3 linked regions of the Neurospora crassa OR74A genome follow. The protein of the gene in region 1 interacts with the protein of each later gene in a pairwise test. Links are inferred from orthologs where the notes say so. Each region holds a gene or a part of one and is shown in the gene's direction. Other genes may lie near its edges.

Evidence for each region. The genes of interacting proteins can lie anywhere in the genome.
Region 2: the proteins of NCU02563 (region 1) and pan-2 interact in a two-hybrid assay, tested with the Schizosaccharomyces pombe proteins (2 studies listed by BioGRID, with this or other methods). The link is inferred for Neurospora crassa OR74A from reciprocal best matches to the Schizosaccharomyces pombe genes tfs1 and ecm31.
Region 3: the proteins of NCU02563 (region 1) and NCU07727 interact in a two-hybrid assay, tested with the Schizosaccharomyces pombe proteins (2 studies listed by BioGRID, with this or other methods). The link is inferred for Neurospora crassa OR74A from reciprocal best matches to the Schizosaccharomyces pombe genes tfs1 and tvp15.

Annotation. Positions count from the first base shown.
Region 1 is NC_026501.1:2,739,888-2,748,409, forward strand, and holds NCU02563 (transcription elongation factor S-II), read left to right. Parts: upstream 1-4,158; 5' UTR 4,159-4,398; coding exon 4,399-4,530; intron 4,531-4,610; coding exon 4,611-5,366; intron 5,367-5,431; coding exon 5,432-5,440; 3' UTR 5,441-5,970; downstream 5,971-8,522. Other genes in the region: NCU02562 (hypothetical protein), read left to right, coding at 1,738-2,000, 2,065-2,122, 2,174-3,277; cys-12 (cysteine synthase 2), read right to left, coding at 6,091-7,461; NCU02565 (hypothetical protein), read left to right, coding at 8,317-8,522. UniProt on the Schizosaccharomyces pombe protein: Necessary for efficient RNA polymerase II transcription elongation past template-encoded arresting sites.
Region 2 is NC_026506.1:3,263,273-3,270,170, reverse strand, and holds pan-2 (3-methyl-2-oxobutanoate hydroxymethyltransferase), read left to right. Parts: upstream 1-4,051; 5' UTR 4,052-4,323; coding exon 4,324-4,812; intron 4,813-5,029; coding exon 5,030-5,692; 3' UTR 5,693-5,844; downstream 5,845-6,898. Other genes in the region: NCU10045 (pectinesterase), read left to right, coding at 1-157; NCU10046 (ubiquitin conjugating enzyme Ubc8), read right to left, coding at 948-1,087, 1,153-1,334, 1,494-1,608, 1,711-1,748, 1,810-1,823; NCU10049 (autophagy protein Apg12), read right to left, coding at 6,089-6,151, 6,269-6,679.
Region 3 is NC_026504.1:2,072,036-2,078,720, forward strand, and holds NCU07727 (COPI-coated vesicle protein), read left to right. Parts: upstream 1-3,996; 5' UTR 3,997-4,251; coding exon 4,252-4,271; intron 4,272-4,431; coding exon 4,432-4,503; intron 4,504-4,761; coding exon 4,762-4,805; intron 4,806-4,873; coding exon 4,874-4,957; intron 4,958-5,037; coding exon 5,038-5,210; 3' UTR 5,211-5,631; downstream 5,632-6,685. Other genes in the region: sre (siderophore regulation protein), read left to right, coding at 1,602-1,957, 2,016-2,578, 2,644-3,488; NCU07726 (bcp-1), read left to right, coding at 5,982-6,086, 6,198-6,685. UniProt on the Schizosaccharomyces pombe protein: Golgi membrane protein involved in vesicular trafficking.

The DNA of each region.
Region 1 (8,522 bases):
TGCGTTGCCTGGTTACTCCTTACCATATGTTCCGAATCCAAAAGGCAACTGGTAGAGCCTTAATGGAAGAATACACCTCCCCAGACGTGTCTCTCCTGAGCAACTGTCCACTAAGTAGCCCCTTGTCCCGCCAAGTTACGGATGGAAAATTGAAAGATGTCTATGTGCTTGAGGCCCCTTCGACACGGGTAAAGGGTAACCAACCGCAAGTTACACCATGAGAAGGGAAACAGTGTCGAATCATGGCAGGCACTTGGTAGATAGAACGGCACGATAACCGGCATACTTGTCCCTCTCAACCTATTACCTGAGTGTGTCACAGGCCATCCCGGCATTACGGTGAGCAACGAGCTGGCGTGGATGGAGTTTAGAACTGAACATTGTTGGCTCGAATCACACCCAGCTCAGGCCTCCAATGCTGGCGTGCTTCGACGTCCATCTAGTAGCTGTGCGGGTGATACGGAAGGGGCTTGTCGGAATGAGTGACTCAGTCTCACTGAGTGACAATTCCAAATCATTAGAGTGAGGTGATGGTGATAGCATCCAGTAGATCGAAGACCAGTGTTCCGATTGCCCACTTCATCACAGCCCTTCAATGCGCGCCTTCCACATACGAGTTAAATTATCGGATCACACCATATCCACGGAAACCGTCTAATACGAAATGGGTTAGGTATCCATCAAGGTGCCCTCGGTATCAAATTTGGGAAAGTACGCCGTACATTCATTTGTGAGGCATGAGTGAGTTTTGAGCAAAAGAAACTTCTTCGAGGAAGCTGCGTCGGGTAAAATCTTGTCAACCAACCTCAAGCGAAACAAGGAACCTTAACGCAGAATCTATTGTTAACAGCCCTCAGAGACAGAAGAAGCGTTTCAAGCTACCTACTTCATGATTTCCATTTCTGTCTTTCCTATTATCAATACTATTCACCGTCCCATCATCCGATCCCTATGTGAATCAACTCGAACTCGCCAACCGCCATGGATGGACCGAAAACCCATGATGATTCCTTGGAGGCGTTAGAAAATAAAGCCTCCCCCTCCGAACTCACTTTCTACCCTCTTTCTCTTTCAACTTCATTCACCTTTGACGTCGAAGCTAGCAACCCAGCCTTGGGGACCATGCTATTAACCGGGCAAAAACGCCAGAATCGTGGAGGAACCGCACAGAAGCACCACTCTCAACGACCATCACGGTCAATGTTCTTTGACCCCATGACACCAACTTGCGACGACGAAAACCCCTACCCCCTGGGTGGATCATCTAGAGACCAAGTTCTGGGCCTGAATTCTTCGACATCGTCACTTGGCCGTCGGAACTCCAGCCTCAGACCCCAAGTAACGCCGGTTGGAGAGCAACGGTATCCGATGACGGAAATCATCAAGGCCAGACCTTCTGCAAGCCAGCATGGCTCCGAGGATGTGCAACGTCAAGCAGCGGGAAGCACGCGGCGCACATTTGAGCCCATGACACTCGATGAGAACCCACCCGTAAACGGCGAGAGAGAGCCAACCATAGACTATGTCACAGGTTTGCGTCTTGTCTTACTCATGGCGGGCCTTATGCTCGGTATGCTACTTTTATCGATTGACCGTACTATTATATCTACGGTAGGTGACCCGGAACTGATGAGTGAAGTGAACGACCCGGAACTTACACTGTTCGAACAGGCCACGCCCTACATCACGAAGCGATTTCATTCAACATCAGACATAGGTTGGTATGGCTCGGCATACATGCTCACATCGTGTGCTTTCCAGCCAGTCTTTGGACGCATCTTCATGCTGTATTCGGTCAAGTGGTCATATCTCACTGCCATGATTTTATTCGAACTTGGCTCCCTCCTCTGCGGACTGGCACCAAACTCGGCGACCCTGATTGTTGGGCGGGCTATTGCGGGGTTCGGCAGTGCTGGTATTCTAATCGGCAGCTTTATCATCGTGACGATGGCTGTTCCGCTGCAGAAGCGTCCTGTCTTCACGTCCGTGGTTGGCTTGATGTAAGTGTCCCAGCCCTGACTGCCCTTGTTTCTGAATAAGGCCTCATATGTTGACCATATCTAGGTTCGGTGTCGGGGCCTCGGTCGGACCTCTCCTAGGTGGTGTCTTTACGGACCTTGTGGTAAGTCTTCCTTACACTCCTGCATAACATATATTCTAATGTTATTCAAAGACGTGGAGATGGTGCTTCTATATCAACTTGCCGCTTGGTGGTGTAACCATCATCTGCTTGATTCTGTTCTTCAACCCCCAAAAAAGCAATCGCAACGCCGGAACATTCTTTGACAGATTTAAGGACCTTGATATTGTGGGCAATATCCTCATTCTGGGCGCTTTCATCATGCTCTTCCTGGCGCTTGAACATACGACTCGAGGCTTTTCATGGAACCACCCACTCATCATTTGGCTTTTAGCCGGTTGTGGTATTACCGCCATTATATTCATGGTTTGGCAATGGGCTAAAGGGGATGCGGCATTGATCCCCCCTCGCATCATCGAGCAGCGTACGGTGGCGGCATCATGCGGCACGGCCTTCATGATATACGCGATCTTGATCAACATGACCTTCTTCCTCCCGATCTGGTTCCAGGCCGTCAAAAATGACACTGCCATGCGCTCAGGCGTGCACATGGTCCCGTTCTTTGTAACCCAGTCGGTCTTTTCACTGATTGCAGGAGGCATCGTGTCCAAAACTGGTTACGCAACCCCTCCAGCAGTAATCGGCTCTGCTATTGGCACTGTTGGCCTCGGATTGCTGACTCTGTTGAAGCCCGGCACAGGAACAGCCCAGTGGGTAGGCTATGAAGTTTTAACGAGCGCTGGCTTTGGCCTGTCGATTCAACAATGCTTCACAGCAGTGCAGACGGTACTTAGCGAGGAGGACGTGGCGTTGGGAACTGCGGCCGTATCCGCTGCTCAGTCGCTTGGAGGCGCTATCTTCGTGTCGGTAGGAAACAGTGTATTTCAGCATCAGTTGCTCAAGGCAGCCGACGCCAACTTGCTCCCGGGAGTCGACATCAAGCAGGTGATCGAGGCGGGTGCGACAGCGTTCCGCGACTTGATATCGGCGGAGCAACTGCCCGCCATGATTCGGGTTTACAATAAGGCGATTCAGGCGGCGCTCATCATCCCCATTCCGCTAGGAATACTCGCAACTCTTATTGCGTGCTTCATCGAATTCAGATCGGTGAAGAAACTCATAAAGACCAACGAGGAGTCAGGCACATGCAGCACTGAACTTTCCGACCAGAGGCCAGGTACGAGCGCACGAATCTAAAAGGAGGTGTATCAGAAATCCGGGTCCAGGCGCATGGGATTCTTGGGGCGATTCATTTGCAGAATTTCGGAGGAGTAAATAGGCTCAAGAGGAGCACCATATGGATTAGAAGTAGGGGGTAGGTCAGCATGATTGCCGAATATTCCAAGCAATATTCTGGAGGTCAGCTCAAGAATCTGTGTGGAAGGATTTATGTCACCCTGCGACCTGAGTTAGCGTATTCTGTGACGGTTTGTGAGGGACGACTGAAGTTAATAGTAACTGTTGTTGTGAAGGGTGTTTCCTGTTGTTGGGGCAAGAATGACAAGTCGATGTGCAAGTGGTGCGTTCAGGGGAACAGTAAACAAATGCAGCCGAGCTCCTTCAAGTGCATACCATGAGTACTGTAATGTCTGATAGATACTACATCAACAATGACAGGCAGTATGTTGAGGGTTGCACCGGATCCGGAGCCCGAACAGCCGGCCGCGAGGTGCACACAAGCCTGTGACAAGTTGGAGCTTGTAAATACATAATGTTGCCTAGCGATAAGCAGCATCGCTTTGCCATATATTTGCAGATCTAGGGACCAAAGACCTCTCCTCTGTTTGCTACTTGCTCTCATTTCAGCTGCCTTTCTCGGATTCAAACAGCAGCCGTCAAATATTTGGCAAGAGATCTCACTCTCGTGGAATTGAAAGGAAGTCTTTTGTTACCACGGTTACCACAGGTGCACGGTTAGATTCGGACTGCCTGTTTCGTCTGTTGAGCGATTGCTATTTGACGGTCTCGGCCTGTCAGCCCTTTTGTTAGTCCATTCACTTTGTTCGGTGTGGAACCTGAAGACCGGCAGAGTGGGGCTCTTTCTTTGAAGCTCCACTAACATTTCTCCAACGATCGCTGCTCACTTTGCGACTCTTCTACCTGCTCGTCATTGCTTTTCCCGCTCGACCATCTTCATCCGCAACATCGTCCAGGACAAGCTCACTCGTTCTTGCTAAGCCTTGGCTCGATATCTATCTGACCTCGTAGTAGAGGGAGATTTTCGCATACCCAATCGAAGCCGCCGATTACCTGACGCGAACGCTATCGCTTGCGCATAGTCACACACGGCCAGCCTAACGTCATCTCCCACTCACACCATGGATGACCGAGAACTCGCCGCGCGCATCAAGGCGCTCTCCAAGGCTGTCACCAGTGAACCCCCTGCGACGGTCATCAAACTTTTGGAGGAATTGAAAAGAGATGCAAAGCCGACCGAGGAACAGCTTCGCGTGAGTCTTGCTCTGCCCTCCCATTAGCGCAGAGCGATCTATGTGAGCGGTATAAGTTCTGACAACTTTGCCCGTCCTAGTCGACGAAAGCAGGTGTGACCGTGGGAAAGCTGCGAGCCAATCCCAACAAGGACATTGCCCGTATTGCCAGCGAGATCGTCAACAAGTGGAGGAAGCTCGTCGAAGCTGCGAAGGAGGCGAAGAAGAAGAGCCAGGCCGCCGCGGCCTCCGGTGCCAGCTCCCCAGCACCCAATGCATCCCCGGCGCCCGCATCATCCGCGTACAACAAGCCCTACACTGGTGACGTCGAGAAGCGCCATTTTAAGACAGACAAGGTCGACATCAACCGAACCTCGAGCCAGACGCGCAACAACACCATCGGTGTGCTCTACAACGGCCTCGCTTACCGAAGAACTGAGTCGATTGAGGAAGTCGTCAAGCGTGCTGTCGAAGTCGAGAATGCCCTCTTCAAAGCTTGCAAGGGCGAAAACCAGGAGTACCGGAGTAAGGGTCGCACCCTCTTTACCAGCCTGAAGCGCAAGGACAACGCTGCGTTGGGACGACGAGTGATGTCGGGCGAGCTGCCGGTCGAACGCCTTGTCGTCTTGTCGGACAAGGAGTTGGCCTCGGAGGAACAGCGCGCTAGGGATGAAGAGCTGGAGAAGGAGAACATGAAGAAGGCCCAGGTACCCATGGCGGAGAAGTCGATCAGTGATGCTCTGAAGTGCGGAAAGTGCGGACAGAGGAAGGTGTCGTACAGCCAGGCGCAAACACGGTCGGCTGATGAGCCTATGACGACCTTCTGCGAGTGCACAGTTTGCGGAAACCGCTGGAAGGTATGGTTGATACACACGCTTTCTTTGACGGAAGTCAATTTGATCGCTAACAGTTGCATGTTTAGTTCTCTTAAATGGCGGGGCACAACAAGCTCCTTCATCACATTCCTTTTGGTATGGCTTGGGCCGCAGAGTGTGCGTCTTTTTTTCTGGCTCGATATGTTACTTTGAAGGGGAAATCCGCCTGTTGCACGCTTCGTTGGCTGATAATTCATGACTGGATCACATTCGCGTTTGGAAGCTCATTTGGCAGCAATATGAGATTGAGGTGTCTCAAGAATATCCCTCCACCTAGAGAGCACAATGAAAGAGGAGGAGGGGGTGGGGAGGAGCGGAAATGGAAAACAAAGTTACTCGAAGACGGAAGACGCTGTACCTTCGGGAACTTCTTCAAACATCGGAGTATGGATCATCTAACTTTTCTTATTATTTTTTATACCCCAGCGAAGAGGTGAGCGATGAATCACTAGCTACTTCATGACTTGGAAAGAGGTAGATATTGAGACGGGCAACGACCTACTTAGACCTCACACCACGCATTAGCAGTAATATAACCGTTAAGAGGCCATATGGCCGATATGGCTCAACAAACGTTTCTATGTGGACCTGTTGGACTCTCGGATGAGATACAATTAGAACATATCACATGTTTGATGACAGCAGCGAACTCAGCAAGCCTGACTCAGCAGGCACAATATTTACGTTGTTCAGTCCGTCTCAATTCCTACCTCTTCAATTCCTCTAGCCCCAACTCCGCAAAAAGATCCTCCGCTTGCGCCTGGGTATCGTTTTCCAGCCCCATATCGCCAATATGCTTCCAGAACTTGCTGAGATGTCTATTGCCCGAGTCGCACAATAACGTCACCACCCGACTGCCTCTTGGTAGTTTCATGGCTGTCACCACCGCCGCCACGCAGTTAACAGCCGTGCTACTGCCGCAGAAAATGCCGTCGTGCTCCACCAACCACCGAGCCATCCGGCAGGCCTGCTCATCTGTCACTCGCACGGCATCGTCAATCAGCACCCGCCCGGACTCAAAGTTCTCCGTGATGCGGTTGATGCCGATACCCTCCACCATCGTGTCCACCTGCTGACGCCGGCGTGTACCTTCCCGCTCTGTCGACGAGTACATGACGCCGTGGCGGATCTTGTTGAACAGCCCGCTGCCCTGCGGATCCGCCAACACCACGCGCGTCTCCCATAGGTTCTTTTCCTCCTTCAGGTACTTGGCCACGCCGGCGATAGTGCCGCCCGTGCCGGCACCAGCCACAAAGGCGTCCAGTTGCCCGCCCGTCTGGCGGTAGATTTCCGGTCCCGTGGTCTTGACATGTGCTTGGTAGTTAGCCGTGCTCTCGAATTGGTCAGCAAAAAACCCGACGCTGCCGTCCGCGTGCACCGCCTCGTGCTCGCGCGCCCGCCTGCGGGCTAGGTTGACAAAATGATCAGGAGACGTGATGGGCGCCGGGTCGACCCGCTCCACCGTCGCGCCCAGGTGGTGCAGCAGCTGCGACTTCTCGATCGCCATGTCGTTCGGCATGCAAATGTGGCACTTGTACCCCTTTGCGCGCGCCAGCGTCGCCAGCGAGATGCCCGTACTGCCCACAGTCCCTTCGTAAATGGTATCGCCGCGCCCGGGCACAAGCAGCCCGCGCTCCTCGGCGTCCTGGATCATGTTGAGTGCCACTCGGTCTTTCGGGCTGCCGCCGGCGCCATTGAGGAGCTCGGCTTTGGCGAGGATGACACAGCCTGTTGCCTCGGACAGGCTGCGGATCATGACTAGGGGGGTGTTGCCGATGCAGCCCTCGATGCCCTCGACCCAGTCGAAACTGCTGTTGATATTGCTTGTTACTTCCTCGTGGTCTTCTAGTCGCACCGGACCGAAGATGAGACTCTCGCGGTGTACCCGGTTGGCGGTGGGTACTACGACGCCATAATCGCCATTGGATCGGCTTAGGTTGCGGTTCCTCCGCCGTTGGTACCGATTCTCGAGTTCGGGGTAGCAATCCTTGAAGCCAAGGGTGACGAGGATACCCGCGGCGAAGGCGGCTGTGAGAGCTACCGTGCCGTAGACACGGGGATGGTCGCTTATTGACATGTCTTGGCGGTTGTTTGGTGTGGAGGGAATCTGAATTATCTCATAGTAGGTGGTGTCTCGTTATGGTGTCTCGATAGTTAGATTTGCGCCGTTGGCGCTGTTGCACGGAAAGAGAATTCGGTTGTTGAGTTCTTTGAGATGTAAAGGCACAGAAGCCGAAATACACAAGAACAGAAAATGTCGAAAAATGAAGTGAGAGGGTGTCTGTCTTATCTGATGTGGTCGGGTTGTCCTCAAAAGTTGTGAGGTTTTTTGCTGTGAAGTTGCTGTTGATGTCATGCAACGATGGATCTTCAGAGCATAGTGTTATCGATTCAGTCGCTCGTCTCCCACGGCAGGCAGGGAAGAACCTTTGGCTCCGGTGACCGGCCTCGCCTCCGCTGAAGCCGGTCAGATCGGAAGCCATGAGGCCTGTCACAGATAGTGTCGTGAATCGGCACTTCCCCGTTGCTGCGGGTCACTGGTGGTAAGCGCCGTTGGGGGCAACGGACAGCGAGAGCCGAGCCATCCTCCAATGTCGTGTGTCCCTGGCCTGGGCCGCCACCACCGCTGTCCCGAGCGCAACTGTCAGCTAGTTCTAGAACCGAATGAGGAAGTGAGCTCGGGCCACCCCGCAAAAGCTCCAGGATCCATCCCCCCTCCCCCATCAACCTCCACCTGTCGCCCCGTGTCCCCTTGACGATTCCACTCCACCACATTTACCGACCAGGTATACGGTACCTCGACCTTCCTTCTCACTGGCGCGGGGAGTTCAGTTGGAGCAGGTGGCGAAACGAACAGACCGTCAGCAACCTCCGGGATACTGCCCGGGCTTCATTCTCTCGCCCACCAACAATCTGGACTCACCCGGTCAGTATGGACTCGCAACTCGTCAACCAGCTGTTCAGACAGCTTTTTCGCCATCATCCGGCATGTCAATCACAGAAGCATCTCCGCCATCTTGCGACCGCGACAGCCCATAATGGACATCGAGTACAGCAATACCACAGACGACAGCAGCGACGACCATACTCGAGCCAGCGTCGTGGCGCGAGCTCTCCCGTGGGGGATGAAAGCCAATG
Region 2 (6,898 bases), on another chromosome or scaffold:
CAGCAACGTTGAGTTTGGCGAGTACGCTAATACCGGTGCGGGTGCGAGCGGAGTCAGGGCGTGGTTTGGTAAGCTGTTGGGTTCCCCCGTCAAGATTGAGTCGGTGCTGGGGAGTCGTTACTCTCGTCAGGGCTACTATGATGCTAGCTATATGTAAGTTAGGAGGGATCTCGATGGGTAGGGAAGGGGAGGAAAGGAAGGCAGTAAATGGGAGGTGGGTTAATGGAAGGATTTGAATTCGAATAGACAATTGTCAAACCGGACCGCAACGACGGATCAGGATTTAAAATAACATAAATAAAGGTTTTGTCCCCAGCTGATGCCAAAATGACTGTGAAAAAAAAAAAAAAAAAAAAAAAAAAAAAAAAAAAAAAAAAAAAAAAAAAAAAACTTTGGAAAAAAAAAAAACTTTGGAAAAAAAAAAAAAAAAAATTGAGCGCGGGCCTCAGATCACCCTGTAATAGATCTTGTTGTGACGACTTTTCACACCTAGCTGGGGATTGATATTTAAACTTTGTTGCGATTCAACTGTGCCTCAGTGATGGTTTAGACTTGAGTCTCCTTGAGCCTCCTCAAGCAGGAAAAGCAGGAAAGCATCACTAGACTGACAAGAGCTGGTTGTTTTTCCACATAAAGGCAACGCACTAAAAGCCAAAGCATTCTAACGGAATGGTATAACGATTTGCACTGAGATGATAATGTGTATAAACAGTCCTAGAAGCAGAGGGGAGAAAACAAAGCGAGTGACCTAAGCAAACCAAAAACGTCCCAACCCATAGATACCTTATTCAACGCCGGTTCGAAACAGAGGCCCTTGAACACCCCGGAGAAAACAACTCCTGCCGCTGACAAATGCGAAGTGACGAAAAGACGGCCTAAAATGCCTTCAAAATTTGAAGAGCCTTCAGGATTCGAAGAGCCCTCAAATTCGTGGGGGGACTACCAACCTAGACGTCGTCCATCTTACCGGCGGCCTCTTCGTCGTCTTCCTCGTCAAAACTAGCCACGGATGATAGTTCGCCGTCGTCTTCACTTTCTGCGTCCGCCTCGTCTGCGGCGTCCTTACTCGCGTACTTCTGGACATATTCTGCAAAAATAATTTCAGCTTCCCCCCTTTCTGTACTCCAAAGCAGTTTTCATGTGTTGACATACCCTTCACCTTGTTCTCGTAGGTCTTGGGTTCTCTGAGCAACATCGCAGCAGCCTCACCGTTGAGAGGATCGGTAGGGTTCGGGTAACGTAGAAGCTGAGGCAGGAATACTTCAAAGATGTTGATCATATCGAACATTGGCGACCATGTTTGGTTGATGACGTCTAGACAAACCGATCCGGATCTGGTATGCGGCGTATTTGGTTAGCCCCAATTGCTCTTTTGCGGCGAGTGGCCCATTATTTGTTGCTTGTTTCTCCCCGGCGAACCAGAGCCCACCCAACGTATTGTCGTGATTGTTTCCTCGGATGGTGCAATCAGTTTGGTATCAGTCCCCACTTACAGCTCATCAATGTTGGGATGGAAGATTCGGTTCACGAAGCCAATGCTAGGGGACTTGTATGGATACTGATCGGGTAGCTCGACGCGGACTTTCCAGATGCCGCCTTCAAAGGGTGCTGTAGGGAGGGCTTGGTGTTAGTGACTGTAAGATCCTCGAGATACATATGGCGACTTGAGCACAGGTGAGACAGGGAATGGAAGATATTGGGTAGACAAACTTTCGGCAGGCCCTTTGAACCTCACATAGAATTCCTGCCTGTTGTATTGTTAGGTAAGCCCAGCAACCCAGCTCGGATTATTTAGTTGTCGCATCTTACACTGCATTCTCCATGTTAGCGCTCCGAAACCGGAAGTTGAATGTTTCCTACAGGGAGTTGGAAAGGGTGTATCCATACTATTATCGTTCACCAAAGTAACCTCATAGTCGCTCATGAGCCTGTCGTATCAGTCGTGTTAACAGTGCGCTCTTGGGAAAGGGTTGTTGGAGCTTTGTAAGGACGGGATTCGTACATCTTCATGACCTGTTATCAATGTACATATTAGCACGTGTGTCCCTGACTCGTAACTGAAGGTGAACACTATCGCAACTCACATCTGTCTCGATACGGCGGCGTGGGGAACTCATGTTGTCTATCAGAAACTCGCGCTCGGTTCGGCCTTTTTTGATAAGAATGAAGTGGTAACTAGCTTCGAGTTGTCGCAGGCAATCTGAAGCGAAGTCGCAAGCAGTCGCGTTATCGTATAATTCGATGTTGTGAACGGATGACAAGTGTCAAGACTGCAGAATGCGGGAGTAGGCAGTTGGATGCGTGGTCGGCGGGTGGTGGCGAGATGCAATGTCGCTCTCGTCTGGTCTCCCAGCTGCGGCCGAAGTGGGTTGGAAGCGAAGCTTGGGCGTTGCTGACAACCAAATATGGCGGGTAGGTTATCGCGAATAGACTCGAATAGGTAGGCACTGAAGCTGATCTGTCAAAGTGTCGATAGTTTGATTGATTATTCAGGTCGGAAAGTCGAAGTTGGGAACAAAGTGGGATGAATGAGACAAGTCGCACTCCCGTCACGTTCCCGCCCGCAGTAGCGACGATCGTCCACGACGTCAGGCTTACCGTACAGCGCTGACCTCCTCAGGTGGTAGCAGCCAGGGGTGCATTTGCCGGCCGCGAGCGAATGATAAGCAGCCAGGAGTGGGGATGGTCATGCGCTGAAGGGATGTGATAATGATTCATTGGCGGTCACTCGGGACCGGCTGTTGTGCTTCAGATGTTGAGGACGGGGAATGACGGGACAGCGGGAGGAGGAGTCAACTCCAGTCAACCTTCTCATTATGGGAAGGCGAGTTTACCAACCGCAAGGTACACTTCGGGGGTAGTGTTACATGTTTGCTTTGTCTCCAAGCCAAATCCGGTCACCAACAACAGACACAATGGTCAACAGCAACATCTGATAAAGAACGGCGCATCATCAGCTACCAAGAGGTAGGTGACATCCTTGTATTGGATCGTATAATCTCGAACGCGTTCCGTGCCGCTCAACAGACATATAAGAGTTGACTCGGATCCAAATTCGGGATATCCCAACAATCTTGACAATGGTGTGTGTGTGTGTGTGTGTGTGTGTGTGTGTGTGTAGTGCCAATGAAGAAACATGTCGATCAACCCCGTTAACATACCGTCACCCACCATCGGCCTTGCGTCCATAAAGGTGGCCGGCGATCCGACGTCAAGATTCAACTGTGAATGGCGGGAAAGTCTGGGGAAAAGGAAGCACTAGACTAGACTAGACTTGACAGAAGGAAGTTTGGTTGGTGTTGTGGTTGGCGATGGCTGTTCACCAGCGACCAGGTACACGGGTCACGCGGTCTCCTTGAACGGTGCTACATTTTGGGCATCATAAACTTGGCTGGTTGCCTGCGACTTTGCGTGCGGTCCTAATGAGGCAGATAATCCAGCAACTTCAAGGCCCAAGACATTTTCATCTCTTAAGCCCACGATATAGGTAAGGTAGTCCAACACTAAATCTTCGGCTCTGGACCACGGTAGCGGAACGCCATGCGTTCATGTAGGGCTGACAATTCCCCGCAGTTCACAATGTCATCTGAAGCCAAAGTCGGCGGGTTTACATAAAGTGGTTGCATAGATGCTACCTATCTGACACGGCACAGAAAGTCTTTCACTCCCCTACAATAGTCTATAGAGCCTCAAACCATCACGATAGGCAGGTCAACACCGTCAATGTTCTCGGTGTCCGTTCGGAGACGAACATCATCATCAAGATGCTTGCGTTTGTCCAAGTCCCAAAATTGTTAGTGCAGCGCCAGTGAGTGTCAGTCGACAGTCACCGATGCCTCGGCCCCAGGGACACAGCCAATCAAGCACATCCAAGCGACCGGTAAAGTGGGTAGTGTGGGTCTTTCTCCGAACGCCCGAACAAGCCGGCGGGTCCCAGTCCCCCCCTTGACACTTGGCGGAAACGGGCAAAGAACACCAAGAAATTTGTGAGATATACTCAATTCTACGCAGCAAAAACCATCATGGCTTCAGGAGTTGAAATAAAAAGGAGGAGCCGGGCGCAGTGAGAAAAAAAAAATGGCGCAAATGTAGAAATCATTTACTCTTCCTCTCAATCAATCACTTTCAGTGCAGCATTGGTTATTTCCATCAACCACCAAAACCGTGGGGAAAAGTTGCATCGATTGTTCCAAGCATCGCAAAGTCGCTTCATTCATTCCGTTGTACCTTCACCTTGCGTATATTCTGGACCGGTACTTTACATACGCTTCTCATCACTTATATAACACCACCACCACAGCCACAACCATTACAACCACCATAATGCACAAGCAAATAACATCTTCACTACTCCGGAGGTCTTCTCCCTTCCTTTCCAGGGGTACCAATTGCAAACCATTAGTCCTGCTGCGTGGTGCCGGCGGTGCATCTCAACCTCACCTCAACACCACCACCACCACCACCACCACGGGATACTACCAACCCCAACTACACCACCACCACCAACATGTGCAAATCCAAACCCGCTATTCTTCTCACTCCCCCATGGGCCTCCCGCCCACCAACCCCCGCAAAAAGGTCACGCTCAACACGCTGCAGTCCATGTACAAAAAGGGCGAGAAAATCACCATGATCACGGCGCACGATTTCCCTTCGGCACACGTGGCCGAGCACGCGGGCATGGACATGATCCTGGTGGGCGACAGCCTGGCCATGGTTGCTCTGGGGATGGAGGACACGAGCGAGGTGTTGGTGGAGGAGATGTTGCTGCATTGTCGGAGTGTGGCGAGGGCTACTAGCCGGGCTTTTACTGTGAGTTTTTCTTCTTCTTCTAATATCCTATATCCTCTCAACTCATGGTCTCTATTTGAGAACCCTTTGTTTATACCTACCCCTATTTTTTTCCTTCTCCGTCGTCTCATTTATTTTTCCCTCGTCTTCAATCATTGCCCCTATTCACTATACCCTACTCCCTATGTGAACCATTAGAAAAAAGAAAGAAAAAAAAAAACACTAACCATGCTTCCAGGTCGGCGACCTCCCCATGGGCTCCTACGAAATCTCCCCCCAACAAGCCCTCTCCACCGCCATCCGCTTCATCAAAGAAGGCCGCGTGTCCGCCGTCAAACTCGAAGGCGGCGCCGAGATGGCCCCCACCATCCGCGCCATCACCACCGCCGGCATCCCCGTGCTCGCCCACATCGGGCTCACTCCCCAGCGCCAAAACGCCCTGGGTGGCTTCCGCGTCCAGGGCAAATCCAAAGAATCCGCCAAGCGATTACTCCGAGACGCCCTGGCCGTCCAGGAGGCCGGTGCTTTCGCCGTGGTGGTGGAGGCCGTGCCGCAGGAGGTGGCGGCCTTCATCACCGGTCTCCTGAAAATCCCAACCATTGGCATTGGTGCTGGAAACGGCACGAGTGGCCAGGTGCTGGTGCAGGCCGATATGACGGGGAATTTCCCGCCTGGGAGGTTCTTGCCCAAGTTTGTGAAAAAGTATGGCGATGTGTGGGGGGAGGCGTTGAGGGCTATTGAGACGTATAGGGATGAAGTCAAGGGCGGGAGTTATCCGGCCGAGGAGCATACGTACCCGATGGCGAAGGAGGAGGTGGAGGCCTTTGTGGGGGATGTGAGGAGGCTGATGAATGCGAATGCGTCTGCCAAGGCTGAAGGGGAGGGTGAGAAGGATGCGTGAGTAATGCTGTAGTGTGTGCGTGGCAGCGGCGGGAGGAGGAGGATAATACGCCTTGCATGATGTTGGGATAAAAAAATGTGTTGCTGTTTTTGGATATAAGAGCGTTGCCTCACGTTGATAGTGTAGCAATTTGATATGTACCTCTGTCGTGATCCCTTTAATTTGATGTGAGATGCCGTGGATATTGATGACCTTGACGGTGTGGCGTTCCGTGGTGTCAAAACCCTTCAGATAGTTGCTCAAGGATGCTGAAGTTTCCATAGTAATCCTAGATTTGTTGGATGATTTTTCGACACGGCTCGTCACAGTCTTGACACAGTCTAACATGCTGTCCATAAGATATGTTCCGACCCTGCAAATCTCCAGGGATTGATTCACCTCTCAGACTTGAGGTGATCACCCAAAAGACGGCGTCATCGAATACGAAACATTTAGCTGGTTCGTAGAATCCTTAAAGCACTGCAACACACATCGTTAGCACACATTTCACACAATTACTCGCACTTGACACTATCATCACCCCCGAAATTATTACCACCTTCACCAAAAACCGGAAAAAAGCCAAAGTAAACTCACCCTCCACAAGTTCCCCACCACCTCATCCAACGCCGGCGCAAACACGCTATTCACATACAGAAACACGCTATCCGTCTCCTGCACCTTCAGCGTCTTACGCAGGTACGCCACCACCGTCTCGAACGAGTGCGTGCTCAGCACTTTGACTTGCTCCCTTCGGAGGGCGGGCGCCGACCCGACCGGCTTGAAACGAATCACCACCTTCTCTTGGTCAAAGGTCCCGGCTTCGGCGAGGGCGGCGGTGGCGTCCCGCGGGAGCGTCATCAAAACCGTGGAGGCGGTCATGGTCAGCGGCAGGTTGGGCGAGTCGCGGCCTTCGAGGACAGGGGAGGCTGTGGATGAGTTTGGGTTGTTGTCGTCGTGGACTAGGGATGGGGAGGCGGTTCCATGTAGGGGTTGGGAGGATGCCATTTTGGGGTTGTCTGGATGTGAGGTGATGAATCAGAAGGAGAGAGGTTGAATTGAAAGTTGAAGCGATGAACCGTATCACGGGTTTGTCCTGTTCGTGTTTGTTTGTTTGTTTGTTTGCTTGGTGATGATTGAGCGCTTGGACCAGTTTCTCGGTTGGACTTGATCGTGGTGTTCCTTTGGTAGCTTTCTTGAGCAGCCTGAGATCCAACGGCTATATTC
Region 3 (6,685 bases), on another chromosome or scaffold:
TCCAGGTGACCTCTTCCAGACCACTTGAGGTCCGGGATGGATTTTCGGAAATGATGGTCGGTGTTTTTTTGGGTGCTGTCCCGGCGATGATATAGTGTAATGTACCTTCTACCATAGCAACCAAGACCATTTCCAAAACCATATTTTCAGGTCGTGAGACATGTCCTGCTGAGCCTGATGGGCTGGAAAGAAACACCAATGTAGAACTAGACTAGATAGTGTACATAGGTAAACGAGACTTGATGGCGGCGCATTGCGTCAAAATGTACACTTGCGTCTACAGAGTATGTAAAATTGGTCGGCTTACTGACCCGTCGGCACTGCGTTCCCGTACCCAATGCACGCATAAGGAACCCCGGTCATTCTCATCTAAGCCCTGTCTGCTGACATTGCGTGGTCCGTGATTGGACATATCTGGGTACCTTGTGGGTCACTTATTCCCTTGCAGCATCTGGCTCCCCAAGTCGAGGGGACCAGTGACACTGGACCTGAGAAAGGACCTTTTTCATCCTGTAGCCAGCCCAATTCCACGTCCCATGATCTCAAATCAGGTCTCCCAAACAAGTGGGAAAACGGGTTTGATTTTTGTTGTGCCAAATCCTCTCTATGTCGTACTGTAAAATCAAACCGCTTTGTTCTCTTGTGGCCCTCCTTCAGGCTAAGACACTGTCGAACCTTCCTCCCTTCCAGACGTGTTTGTCCTTGGCAACGACTACTTAGCAGACGAACCCCTGGGTGAAGCCCTCCTGCGTACGGTATCCAACCGTCTCTCAGCCCTTTGGTTCGCCAGGATTATCCGTAGATCAGATAACAGATCTGTGGAGCAGTGGAGTAGTAATCAGAAGCACAACAGAGACTCTTGAGGCAAAGGGGGGAAGGATATGCAGACATTCGTCTGTCCACTCACCTAGAAGACGCAAAAAGACAGAAAGACGACAGAAAACCTCAAGACCAGCCTTTGGCCCAGACCCGCCCTCTTTTTTGCTTTGCCTTTTCCGTCCACCAACCCTTCAGTTTTATCTGCTACCTCGGATCCCGACCGACTTCGCCATCCTCGTGCACTCTACCGGAGTACACAACCGTCCAGGTCTTGCCACCAACGCGAACCCGCTCGTACCACAACCTGGCGCCGTGTCCAAGCCTTTTCTTCCAGCATAACCAACTTCTGATTCAGCGGCACCCTGCTGCGGTCTGTAGTACTCGCTTCCTCTGGCCATTTGACCCCATCAATCGCCTGTTTCGGACACCCAACACGTGCTGTTCTCCTGGTACCGGCGCTCTGTATTGGCCCCGGATCCCGCCTGGTCCTTAGCGCACATTGCCCAGAAGTTGGGGTGGCTTACTTGCCATCCAAGTACAACTCCAACGATCGATCTCGGCATGTGTTTGACCGCCGACCTCGATACCGTTTCCGCCTCTTGACGATCACGGAGCGATATTGAAGCCAGCCTGCGCATCCCCAAGACTCCCGGCGCCGTACAACATCCACTTTGTTTTTCAACAGGCTTTCAAACACATTGTGTCCCTTCTCAAGACGGATAACTAGCCTTGAGCATACATATTGTTAGGTTGAGATCCATACGCAAACACATTGAGAAGGAATGGCATTGCCGGATGACACTCGCCTTATGAACAACCAAACTTCCATCGAAGGTAACTCGGCACCTGATCGTATGGCTCTTCCATCAAGGCCACCCCCACCGACCGCAAGTAACGAGCCCCCGGAGCACGAGTCAACCGGACCGGTTGACGAGGCGGCCTCCAAGTCCGAATCCGGGCTCTCGCCGAATTCAAAGAAAGCGGGGCATGCTGCGCAGAGTCCGTCTGGTCGCAAGAAGTCTCCAAAAATCCAAAATGCCCAACCAGCACAATCTCCAGCCGAAACCGTGGGGGTGGTGAACGTTGCAACGCTGGGACTTGTGCCTTCTGTTCAGGGTCATGCGGGTCAAGTCTGCAGGTATGAATGTCCCTTTCCTAATGACTGAATCTGTAGGCCAGCGCTAACGACTGAGTAGCAATTGTGGTACGACACATACTCCTCTTTGGCGAAGATCACCTCAAGGAGCCATCATTTGCAACGCTTGCGGACTGTACCTAAAGGCGCGTAACGCGGCTCGCCCCGCCAACATCAGGCGCCCTCCCAGCGTGATGGCGAGCAATGTTAGGCAGGCCGCGGCCAAATTGTCCCCCAAAAAAGCAACCGCACCGTTACTGCCAAGCAACCCGGGAGCAACGTATGTGGCCGCCGATCAGACGCCGTCAGGATCGTGCCCTGGAGGCGGAAGATGCAACGGCACAGGTGGTGCGGAGGGGTGTGGTGGTTGCCCCGCATACAACAACCGCGTTTCCAAGAGTGCGAGTCTCAACGTGCTAAAGTGTCAGGGCGCAGCAGCCGCGTCTTCCAAGAAACCTCAAGCAGCAGAGGGCAGCGGGGAAGAACCGACTGAGATGGACATCACCGCCTTACACGTACAATCGCAAAACACAACCGTTGTTATTGCTTGCCAAAACTGCGGTACTACCATTACTCCGCTCTGGCGAAGGGACGAAGCCGGTCATACCATTTGCAATGCGTGCGGTAAGTGCATGAACTTATGGCCTGAAAAGTTACAAATGGGATGGAATTTGCTAACTCGAGTAAAGGTCTCTATTACAAGTTGCACGGTGTGCATCGGCCAGTGACCATGAAAAAGGCAATAATCAAACGGAGAAAACGTGTGATTCCTGCCGCCGGAGGTGATGCCGAAATTGAGCCAAGTGAGGCTCCAGATTCACCACCCGCGACATCAGAACCTCCGATGGAGAAAGGTACGGTCAACGAAGATGGATCTGTTAATCTCGGCATCCGCCGACGTTCAGTGCGACCATTGACGCTCGTGCCTGAGGACGAATTGCGGCGAAACAGACAGGCATCCCCGCTGTCTTCAGCCGCCTTGGGACAGTACCACTCATCTCATACAAATCAACCACACCACGGGGCTCATGCATCTCTCACTTACGAGAATCGACTGGCTCCCATTCATTCACTGGCGCTCCCAGTTGATCGTCAAGCGTCCATTTCACCAGCATCATTTCTGTCCCCATCGAGAAAGCGGTCGATATCTGCTGTAGAGAACGAACCTTCGTCTCATAATGACAACGAAAGTCATAAGCGCCTGTCTTCCATCAAATCCATTCTCAACCCGATGCCGAGTTCTGAGATACACCGAGAGGTTTCGCCGGCAGACCAGTTACGGATGCAACCAGCCTCCCGGTCCCCAGCCATGAGCAGTCTGACTCCAGCACACAGTCCAGGGTCATTTTCAAACAGTACGGTTATTGGGACACCAACATCAGCTCCGATTTTGCGGAGCGCCTCGAGAGATACCCACAATGATAGCGAGCGGATGAAGGCAGAGCGAAGAGCAGCGTTGGAGCGCGAGGCCGAAATGATGAGAGAGTTGCTGGCCGCAAAGGAACGGGAGCTTGCCGAGTTGGGTTATGATTGACATGCGGAGGCTGAAAAAGCGGCATGCTGTGAATTCGGGGGAAACAACTGGAGTTATTCGGGAGAGCATACCCATGGAATTTGACTTGTGCATAGATAGATAGCAACGGAAGGCATAGTCTTTTTGAGGAAATCCCAATGACAGTTGGAGCCAGAGACCTTTAGTCATAGTATCCGCATAGTGGTTATGCGTCTATTCATCGATGCCGTCCAGTGGATTTGGTTTTGCATAGTAATAGCCGTCTCATGGCTGTAAACCCTAATTGCAACACCCTCGCTGCAATGGCGAAGTGTGATGCGGCAATGGAAGTTTCAAAGTTCCAGACGGAAAGCCCCTGCCCTGACATGCCGTAGGAGCCAGTGACAAGAGGCCGCGCACGCTTGCATCAGCGTCGTAGGGCGGAGCTCCCACGTTGCGCGCGTTTGGGGCCGGTTTAGTGGACAATGTACCCCGGCAGGGACCACCCGACCCTCCTGTTTGGTGCAGGTGAGGCTACCAGCTTCCTGACCTCGAGCTTCGATTGTTCCAGGCAACACTGTAGAATACACCATCCTCACAACATCTTTCGTTGCTCCGTCAAGAACCACCACCAAGTGGCCACATCTATCTCTACGCTCGCGCAAATTTCCGAGACTCATTTTGAATCGCTCTCTAGATTGCGTCGAACCCAGCAGATCGCACCTGTTCCTGCGACATTCTACCAACCTTTGCGACGTATTCGCACCTCCTCCACCACCACAGCCACTACTAAAACAACGCCATAATGGATCTCTCCGACTCTTTGTACGTTCACATCCGCCCGCTCGTGCGACTATGGAGAAAGAAAAGAAAGAAGGGGATGAGAGCGGAGAACAAGCAAGACCGCTGGCCCCCAATACTGCGTGCATCCAAGCATCCGTTCGAGGTTCAGAACTACTTGCTAACATGATGTCCTCCTCTCTAGTCGCTTTGTCAACCTCGCGGTTGCAGTGCTTATGATCCTGGGTGGTGTCTCCCAGTTCTTCCCTCTCGGAATGTACGTTTCCTCATTGTACGCCCGTTAGCAAGCCGACCGACTGTACAAAGTTATGCGCTTCCCTCCACGAGCGGATATTGTGGACGCAGCAATCTTGGGCGGTCGCCGAAATCGATCATGGTCCTGAAGCCTGGATGTCCCGGCTGCCAGTGCGCGCCCGCCTATGCTCACAAGGGTGTTACATGCTTTGTCCGGACTGTTGCGCAGGCTGATAGAAATCGTATGGAGATGTAAAACTGACCAAGTTACTGTCGACAGTCAACCAATTATCCTCGGGTGCTACACGATCCTGTTTGGTGTTGGTAGGTGGTCGCATACGTCGACAGAAACATTCAAATGGTTTCCGAAACGCTGACGCTGTTCTTCACAGCCACCGGTCTCCTGGAGTTCCAGATCCCTCACCAAGTCTACCGCTATGCGTCGTTCATGTTCTCGTTTCTTGGTCGTGGTGTTTGTACGTTATTGTTGCCCCACCCCCCCTCTGCTGCTATTGCTGAGTTATTGTGACTAATCGTCGGTCTACTCTTTGTACAGTTTACATCTTCGTCGGCTGCATCATTCCCCATGGACACTGGGCTACAATCATTATCGGCTCGATCATCTTCCTTGTCGGAGTCGCCTATGTCGCTCTCGAATTTGTGCCCTCTATTGAGCCCCCTCCAAACATGCGCGAGGTGGATGCGGGCTGGGGCGCTGAGCAGGTGTAGTTTGTGATACACGTCACTATTTGGGAAGTAATGCCCTGCCGAGAATTGGTTATGTAAGCATGAAAAGGGCTCTGTGGCCGCCGACAATGTCATGTCGACCCATACCAAGATGAGACGTTTGGGGTGTGAGAGTAGCGGGAGGATGGTCTGTTTGACAGCTACTCAGGAGCGCTGCTGGTGATCAACTGGTGTCAGAATGTTGAGGAATATGTTGCGCCAGCTGAATGCAGCACAAGTCAAGGGGTACGTAGTTACTTTCAGTAGATAACATCAAGGATGTGTAAGAAGATCAACGATTTAGCTTATACTTTAGTTTGAGGGCAGCAATGGTGCAGCCAAGTCAACATTTTGGATAGGACTGGCCTGCAGTCTTCTGGCATCCATAGACAAGCACTGTCCGTAAAGATGAAGTATCTTCCATTTATCGTTCGCGGTGGCAGTTTTCCACAATGGCAGATCATTAACTGGGTGAACGTGGTTGGAAATCCCCCCCTTTTTGGAGTTTGGGCAATTGTGGTTGTCCTAGCAACCATTTTGTTGTATCTAAAGCTGGAAGGGTTAGGGTATATGCAGGTAGGCGATAAGGTTCTTATCAATTTCAATCTTAAACAACTGCATTACAAAATTTTGAGCTTGACGGCCTGAATGACCTCAAAGTCAACCACATATCACCAAGTAAGGAGCCCTGTGAACACAATCATGTGTGGAATATGCGACTGACAAGTCGAATAAGGACCATTTTTATTGAGTCGTTCAAGTACCACATTCAAGATGGGCAAGAAAAGATCGAGAGAGGAAGCCCAGAAGGAGGTCGTCCAGAACGACCCCACAGTCGATAAGATGGATGAGGATAGTGACAGCTCAGACTCGGATGAGGTGAGTTACTTTCCCTTGGTGCACCAGGCTCGGTTGTTAAACCGACCACTTGCATCTTGGTCGAACCTCTCTTGGCCGGGAGTCGTAATACTAACATTGGTTGGAAACAAGGACATGGATATCATCAACGTCGACTTCGAGCTGTTCAATTACGACAAGGACATCGACTTCCACGGCGTCAAAACGCTTCTTCGTCAGCTCTTCGACGCTGACGCCCAGCTCTTCGACCTGTCCGGGCTCAGCGACATGATCATCGAGCAGAACACCATCGGCTCGACGTGTAAGGTGGACGACAAGGCCAACGACGCCTACGCCTTCCTGACCGTGCTCAACGCGTGGGAGCACCGCGAGAAGAAACCGGTCGCGCAGCTGATTGAGTACCTGTCCGACAAGGCCGTCAAGGCCGGTGATTCCAGCCTGTCTGTGCTGCCTGAGTTGTTCACCTCCGGCAAGGCCCAAGTGGGCATCGTCCTGTCGGAGCGCCTCATCAACATGCCGGCCGAAGTCATCCCGCCCATGTGGAACATGATGATCGAGGAGATCCAGGACGCCGTGGACGACAAAGAGCCATACGAGTTTACGCACTACCTGGTGGTGTC